2 linked regions of the Oryctolagus cuniculus genome follow. The protein of the gene in region 1 interacts with the protein of each later gene in a pairwise test. Links are inferred from orthologs where the notes say so. Each region holds a gene or a part of one and is shown in the gene's direction. Other genes may lie near its edges.

Region 1 (4,843 bases):
AAAAAAAAAAAAAACCCTAACAATATTTTGAAGTGTGCTGTAAGGAATGACTGTTTAGTTTCAAGGGGTAGATGTAAGAAATGGCATGACGGTGGTCTCTAAAACTCCAGTAAATTCTGGCAACATTCTTTGCCAAGGCTGTTCTAAGCATTTAACATGCATTGACTCAGAAATGCACTATGAGGTATAAATACTATTGAATGTGTGTTACAGTAGAGGTAGTTGAAGTACAGAGAAGTTAAGAAGGCAAAGTCAGTCACAAATCTAATATATGAAGAAAAGTCAGGAGGTTCATTCAGGACAGGCCATCAACCCCCGGAATCCCTGGATCCTAATCACCATCCCGCACCGTGCCCACCAGTATTTGTGTCTCCCTGTGACATGCCACTGCTAGAGATTAAGAGAGGAACCAAAATGGCAGGAATGGCTTCTATTTTAGTAATGTTTTTGAATTTCCTGCTCTTGTCATAACAATCCCTGAGACTGCTATTGTGATCAGGTGGGGAAAGTGAGGCTTGGGAAGACTGGCAGACCTACCTACGGCCGGTTACCACATGAAATGACAACACTGATACCCCGTCATGGGCTTCTGGTTTCTAGTCAGGAAATTTCTCCATTAAACCCTTTTCTCAAGAAGTACCTTGCTGTACAACATAAATAGAGGCTTCTTTGCCAAACACTGATTATTAACATTTAAGGGTACCTCTTAAAGCCTAAAAATTGACATCTTGGGGTATGCTTTTAGCACAGTGGTTAAACTGCCTGCCACTTGGGATGCCTGCATCGGTATCAGTGTGCCGGGATTTCAGTCCCAGCTCTGCTCTCCATTCCGACTTCCTGCCGTTACATACTCTGAGAGACAGCAGGAAGTGATGCAAGTATTTGTGGTCCCACTATCCATATCAGAGATCCAGACTGAGTTCTTGGCTCCTGCCTTCAGCTTGGAACAGCCCTAGTTATTGTGGGCATTTCAAGGAAACCAGAATGTGGGACATCTCTCTGTGTGTTTTGGCCTTTGAAGTAAATGAAATAAATATTTGTTTTAAAAAATTGACATTTAAATTTATTTTATTTATTTGAAAGGCAGAGAAACAGGGATATATCTGCATCCACTAATTCGCTCAAATGCCCACAACAACCGGGGCTGGTCCAGGCCAAAACCAGAAATTGGAACTCAATTCAGGTCTCCATGTGGGTGGCAGAAACTCAAGTACTTGAGTCAGTACCACTGCCCCCTAAGAGCACACATTAGCAGGAAGCTAGAATCAGGAACAGAGCCAAGACTCGAACCTGTGCACTCTTATATGGGATGTGTGCATCCTGAGTGGTGCCCTAACCACCATACCAGATGCCCACCCCAGAATTGCTGCCTTGAATGTATGTAGTAAACAAAGTACATTACTTTCTTTATCTTTTCTTCTAATTTGTACTTGTCACATTTTCTATAATGAGTCTTTATAACTAGGAAAGCAGTGAACATTAGTTGAAAAATTTATCACTCAAGAATTGAGATGACCTGGGAGTGTGAGCCTAGGAGAGGTGTTTGAGGGGTTTCATCCTTCAGCTGTGAAAGAGATCATAGAGAAACCTGATCTACCACAGAGGGAGCCTTCGGGCTGCAGGTGGACCATAGGCCTGAGGCAGCATGGCTGCTCTTGTATTCCACACTGCCTGGTGACAACAGAGAGAAACAATTAAGTTTCTGCTTTTTGCTAGGAGATGGACCAGGATAAGTAGAAGCATTCCAGAAGTATCGTCATGAGTGGCATATAAAATGAGGGACCAAAATAAATTGAAATACTAAGTACTGGGGAAAAGAGTATAGCCTATCTCAGATAGTCCAATTACAGTGCAAAGAGCGCTTAAGTTTAGACCTGGTTGTTTCTGATCCATTTAGATATTTTCTCTTAACAGTCCAACCATGTGATAAAGCATCTTACTATACTAGCCTTTAAACATGTTTCTAGTCAAAATCCCAGAACTCAAATCCAGAGGCAATTACTATATATCTGGCACCATGCTGAAAGCATGATAAATGTTTTTGCTTCATTGAATTCACAGTGCGAGATAAATACTGTTATTATCTCCAATTTTCTAATAGAGAAACAGAGGTATGGAGGCTGGTGTCTTTCTCTGTGTCCTACCAATAAGTAAACACAGGAGGCAGGGTTGGATCCCAGCCAGAGCCTCCACTGTCACAGGTAGAGCTGTGACCTAAGTAAGTAAGCACCGACGTGTCTCAGAATGTTTAAAGGTATCAGATTATACCTCTCATATACTCAGTGCCCATGTATTTTGACCATTCAGTGTATACATTAGCTAAAGGGGGTACTTTTTCCTGATTATCTTATAATAAGAAGCATATGACCTGTTTTATTTATACTCAAAAGAGGTTTTCTTTTACATTTTTGTTCCTGTTTTGTTTTGGTTTTTTTGTGCTCAGGGTTGATGGTGCATGTTGATAAAAGAATTACTCTGGCAGCTTTCAAACAACACTTAGAGCCTTTTGTTGGAGTTTTGTCCTCTCACTTCAAGGTCTTTCGAGTATATGCCAGCAATCAAGAGTTTGAGAGCGTCCGACTGAATGAGACACTTTCATCATTTTCAGATGACAATAAGGTTGATTAAAATAATCCTTGAATAATTAGAATCTATTTTAAATGATAGATTTGAGAACATCTTGTACTACTTCCAAGTAAGGTGAAGTAGATACCCTAAAAGGGTCATTTGTCTTTGATATTTAGTGATTTTTGGGGGGTATTTTGGTGGTGGTTTTCTTCATCTAACAAACATTTCTGAGATGTTAACTGTGTGTTAGTTACTATTCTAGGTGCTGGGAACTGAGAGGTAAATATACCTGTTCTCAAACAGCCCATAATCTAGAGAATTTTGGAAAACAAAACTAAACTGTGGGGTGAAAATAGGTTGTTTAGTCTCCTAAGATGCTATTTCTAAAATCATGTTTTTAATTTATAGATTACAATTAGACTGGGGAGAGCACTTAAAAAAGGAGAATACAGAGTTAAAGTATACCAGCTTTTAGTCAATGAACAAGAGGTAAGTAATACAGCAATGTAAAGCCACTTTTTCGCATTACTGAAAGCATGATACAGAAACTATTACATGTTTCTTTTTACTATTGTAGTTTTACAGATTATTGTCTCTTGCGGCTACTATGTTCTGCCATCGCCAATTGGAAATGACTGTGTCCCAATAAAACTTTATTTACAAAAACACAGCAGTGAATTTGGTCCACAGGCCATTGTCATCCTCTTGCTTTAAAGTATTGCTGCAGTGCTGGAGTGAAGCAGAATGTTTCTGATTTTAAAAGGAATTTGTGTTTGCTTTCTGGGATGAGTCCTAACGCTATAGGTTAACCCGAAGAATCTACAGATACTTCTTAGGTCCCGAATCATTTTAGTATTTTTAACATATCTATATATTGTTTATTGTGTGCTCTAAGTGCTTGTAATACTAACTCATTTAATGCTCATTGGTTAACTCTGCAATATAAATATTCTATAGATGAAAAAACTAAGGAACAGAGAAGTATCTTGGTCAAGAGCACATAACTTGCAAATGGTAGATTAAGGATCTAAACAAGCTCTTAGAGATTAATCAGTAAAATATTTTAGTTCCTGTGCTGTATAGCACCTGTGTCGAATATCCAAAAGAATAATGCAGGGCCCGAGTTTCGGAGTCTGTGTCAAGTAAAATGTCTTGATAATCCTTATTGTGTCATAGTCTAATTGTTTATGTTTATATTCCTAGCCGTGCAAGTTTCTGCTAGATGCTGTGTTTGCTAAAGGAATGACTGTGCGGCAATCAAAAGAGGAGTTAGTTCCTCAACTCAGGGAGCAGTGTGGTTTAGAGCTCAGTATTGACAGGTAAAGTCAAATTACAGTGTCATCTGTGATTGGGAGAAACGATTGTATGTTCAGTCAATAGGGACTGGCGTGGTTTTCTCAAACTGGAAGAATTACAAACTTGGGTACTCGTCACAATGCTGGTACTGAAAATTAAGTTAATAGGCTTGACTGGATATTATAATTTTGTTTCCATTTCCTCTAGAGGATACTAAATTTGAAGTACTGGGAGCATTTCTTGACACATTTTTAATGAGTAACCATTTGACTTTGTATTTGAACATAGTTCATTTTTCCTTGGTGTCAGATTAATGTTGGTTTTTAAAGTGAGAATTTCAGATTATAGTACTTTAAAATGTCATCATGTTTATAGGTTTCGTCTACGGAAAAAAACATGGAAGAATCCTGGCACCGTGTTTTTGGATTATCATATTTATGAAGAAGATATTAATATTTCCAGCAACTGGGAGGTTTTCCTTGAAGTTCTTGATGGTATTATCAACATTATTGTGGGGAAATATCAATTGGCAATACTCTAGAACTAACAGAATCCATGGTTTTATTTAAGTAGTGAGTTACCAGAAGCCTAATATACAGTTTGGTGTTTTTGTGTTTCATGAAACATAAAGACATTGTTTTGTGGATTGATGTGATTCCTCCTACATCCCATTCCCAGGAGTTTTATTGTCTTCCACTGTAATACTTAAGTTATTGTTAAAAAAGCATCCAGTGTTTTTAGCTTTCTCCTGTTTTTCTTTGGGTACCATTTGCCTTTTAAGTATCTCTTATTTTCTCTAATTTTGAGACTCTTAACTCCCTCTTAAGGGGAAATTACATTCCTTATAACTTACTTTACATCGAGAATGTGATACTGATAATTTATCAAACACTTGAGAACAGTGACTATACATTAGTTTCATAAACTGCCATTACAAAGGATCGTAAGTAGTGGCTTAATCAGACCTTGATTGTCACAT
Region 2 (3,441 bases), on another chromosome or scaffold:
GGAAGGAGGAACCTGACCTCCTTCCTCTCTGACCTCAGCTGACGGTGATGCGGTACCAACTCTCCGATGACCTCCCCTCCCCACTTCCCTTCCGGCTCTTTCCCTCTGTGCAGTGGGACCGAGGCTCAGGCCGGTGAGACCATTTCCTGTGTTCTAACTATGGAACCTGAGCCCAGACATTTAAGCTGCCAAAGCTTACCACAGAAGGGAGGTGGAGGTCGTGTTAGAGGGTGCAGATTGGGAAAAAGCTTGCCTAGTGGAGTTGGGCTTTGGCCCTTCCCCTTGTGCGTGGAGGCCCTGGGTGGGCACTGGTGAGATACCGGTAGGACACGACCTAACAGATGGTGTTTCACCCTCTCATCCAGGCTCCAGGTTTACCTGAAGTTGCGATGTGACCTGCCCCCAAAGAGGTAAGGGAGGGCGCTGGCCTTTCCTGGTCCAGCCAGCTAGGACAGCATACAGGGCCAAGGTCGAGAATGCGATGCTGCTTCCTCACGTGCAGCCACCAGCCTCAGATTCCAGTTTCGCTGGCGGCATTAACATTTGGGAAGGAAGTGGAGGTGGCACCTGTGCTGAACTCCCACAGTGACGCTCAAGGGGGACCAGGACCAGGGACGACCATGGCTTCTGGGGCCGACTCTGCTCCTTTCTCGTTTGCAGCCAAGCTCTCAACGTCAGGCTGCACCTCCCCCTGCCGCGAGGGGTGGTCAGGTGCGTGTGAGCTCCCCCGGGGAATAGCATGGCCCAGGGCTGCAGTGCAGCTGGGCCCAGCACTGTCCCTTTCCCCACCCCAGCCTGTCTCAGGAGCTGAGCAGCCCAGAACAGAAGGCAGAGCTGGGGGAGGGAGCCCTTCACTGGGACCTGCCTCGAGTGCAAGGAGGCTCTCAACTGTCAGGCCTCTTCCAGGTACCCACGGCTGCTCTAGCGCCCTCCCCATTGCCCTTCACCCCAGCCCCTGCTCAGCCCTCCCAAAGCAGCTGCAGCCTCATCTGGCCTGACAGCCTCCCTGCTCTCTCTCCTCACAGATGGATGTCCCCAGCCTCCCGGGGCCTCCCGGCCATGGGACTCCCACTTCGGCTTCTCCTCTGGGGCTGGGCCCTGCGAGCCTCTCCTTCGAACTCCCCCGGCACACGTGCTCTGGCCTCCAGGTCCGCTTCCTCAGACTGTCCTGCAGGCCGTGTGGTAACACCAACCCCCACAAGTGGGTGCGACACCTGAGCCACAGCAGCGCCTATGTCATTCGGATCTGAAGCTGGGTCTCGAAACAAGGACAGAGGCAGCAGGCGCTTAAGTGGGAAAAGGACAATTATCTTCTTTTCTGGCCTCCTGGTCTGGGGCTCTGGATGTGAGCAGGAAGTCTGGAGAAACCAGGAGGGCTCGAGAGACCGGCCCCCTTCCATGGGAGCCGATGCAGGGAGAACTTGGGGAAATCAGTGCTTACAAATCAAACTTTTATTCTGGGAAATGGCTGTGTAATCTAAAAAGAAAGTCACGTGGGGGAAGCAGCCTGCTCCATCCTTCCACTTGGCACACGTGCAGGTCAGCAGATGGGGGGCACTGTCATGGAGCAGGCTGAGGGGAGCCTGAGCCGGAAGGCTGGGAGCCATTAGCCTTTGGAGTTCCTGGGGCTGGAGGAGGGCTGTCCCCCGCTTCCTGTTTCCCCCCACAGAGGGCACTGCCCCCAAGGGGGGATGGGGAAGATGATGGGGGAGGGACGGGAGAAGGGTGGGAGGCAGGGCCCCCCTTGCCCTCCCCTGTGGGGGGAAGTGAGACCACAATGTACTTCTGGACACTGCCCGGACCAGAGGGGGCAGTGCTGGGGGGTGCGGTGGTGGCGGTGGAGACCAGCTTGACAATGGGCTGCACGCTGGGGACCGTGGTGGTGACAGGAGAGGTAGTGGTGGAGCCTGAGCCGGGGGCTGAGGTGCTGAGGGACAGGACCTGGGGAGACAGGACAGCAGTGTCCACCGACTGCCCCATGCTCTTGGCTCTCCTCAGGGGCCTGCAGGTGCTCTCCCAGGCACGGTTCATGTCTCCAGACCCCTACCAGGCGGGGGGAACAACCAGCCCATGTGGCAGATAAAGCCTGTGAGAGCCACAGGCAGGACTCGAAACCCAATAAATCTATACCAGGGGAATTCTAAGTGGATGAATTGTGTATGGCCTGTGAAGGATGTTTTTTTATAAATACCCAAATGGCCCTTCCCCAACCCTACCCTAGACCACAGGCAGCGGGAGGCCTTGCTCTGGCCCAGACCCCTGGCAGTGACCCTTCCATCTCCTGACCTTGGGCCTGGAATGGACTGGGCTCTGCTCTGGGACCTCCCCAGGTGCTCTCAGGTGGCATGGCCCTTGGAGAGTTCCTCAGCATACCTGTTGGGTGGATGAGGCGCTGGAGGACGAGGACATTACAATAAACTTGGTTGGAGGAGGGGAAGGCTGGGGTGGGGCGGCAGCTCGTGCAGACACCAATGTCTGGACGGGCAGTGTGATGGAGCCCGGCACCTTCAGCAAGCCAGGGGTCCGAGGGCCAGGCTGAGGGGCCTGTGAGAGGGTCAGTGTGGGCCGGGGCTGCAGGAAGAACAGACCAGAAGGAAATGTCAACATCTAAGAAAAAAGGCGGTGCTGAAGGGAGAGACTCAGGCTCCGCTTACTGCTCACAAGAAATGGGGTGTTACATCATTCACTGACTCGGGGCCTGCAGGCGAGGGCCCACGTCCCACCCATGGGTCGCTGACCTGTGTGATGGTCAGCGTAGTCCTGTTGACCTGCTGAGCCTGCAGAGCAGCCTGGGCCCGGGCCTTGACCACGTGGGAGCAGAGGAGGGGCCCGAGGGACCCAAATTCTGCCCGATAGGCATCCTGATTGTCAGGCGGTGGGCGCAGCTTTGCCAGAACAGGGGCACAGTGTTTCTGCAGAGAGAAGGCTGGCACTCTTAGAAAGGGTGACCGTGGGACTCGGCCAAGCTGCTGCTAGGAATGCTGTGGGCTTTCCTCATAAGGAAGTACAGGCACCAGCTGGTGGGAATGAAGCAGCTTGCTAAGTAACATCTGCGAGGCACCTGATCCAGGGGGTGTACGCCTGCCCCGCACGGCAGGGGGCCCTGGTGATGGAGAGCATGGGGGGCAGGGGGCTGGGCAAGTTTGCAGGCTGAGTGGATGCCCCGATTTCCTTCATGACCCTCCTGGATTTTAGTCTGTCTGCCCGCAGAACAGGAGCTCAGATAAATGTGGCCAAGCTCAGCACTGTGTGAGGGCGGGAAACAGGGGTGTTAGTGGCAAGTGGTGGGCAGGCAGGGGCTTTGGTCACCAGGAGGAGGCTCTGCACGTGGTCGGCCCCGATGCGGTCGATATTGCTCAGCACGGGCCCGTCCAGGACGCTGCGGATCCGCTCCCCCTCCTGCTGCAGCCGTGGCAGAATCAGAGTCTTGATCACCTGTTG

The links.
Region 2: the proteins of USP47 (region 1) and AP4M1 interact in binary tests that used the Homo sapiens proteins (3 or more experiments, as listed by UniProt). The two-hybrid records come from large-scale screens. The link is inferred for Oryctolagus cuniculus from reciprocal best matches to the Homo sapiens genes USP47 and AP4M1.

The regions. Positions count from the first base shown.
Region 1 is NC_091432.1:54,271,540-54,276,382, reverse strand, and holds part of USP47 (ubiquitin carboxyl-terminal hydrolase 47), read left to right. Parts: intron 1-2,443; coding exon 2,444-2,619; intron 2,620-2,976; coding exon 2,977-3,057; intron 3,058-3,771; coding exon 3,772-3,887; intron 3,888-4,239; coding exon 4,240-4,358; intron 4,359-4,843. UniProt on the Homo sapiens protein: Ubiquitin-specific protease that specifically deubiquitinates monoubiquitinated DNA polymerase beta (POLB), stabilizing POLB thereby playing a role in base-excision repair (BER). Acts as a regulator of cell growth and genome integrity.
Region 2 is NC_091450.1:42,372,435-42,375,875, forward strand, and holds the end of AP4M1 (AP-4 complex subunit mu-1), read left to right. Parts: intron 1-38; coding exon 39-133; intron 134-365; coding exon 366-410; intron 411-660; coding exon 661-711; intron 712-794; coding exon 795-906; intron 907-1,025; coding exon 1,026-1,250; 3' UTR 1,251-1,560; coding exon of another isoform or gene 1,561-1,941; 3' UTR 1,942-2,153; downstream 2,154-3,441. Other genes in the region: TAF6 (transcription initiation factor TFIID subunit 6), read right to left, coding at 1,561-1,941, 2,374-2,571, 2,739-2,912, 3,310-3,435. UniProt on the Homo sapiens protein: Component of the adaptor protein complex 4 (AP-4). Adaptor protein complexes are vesicle coat components involved both in vesicle formation and cargo selection. They control the vesicular transport of proteins in different trafficking pathways.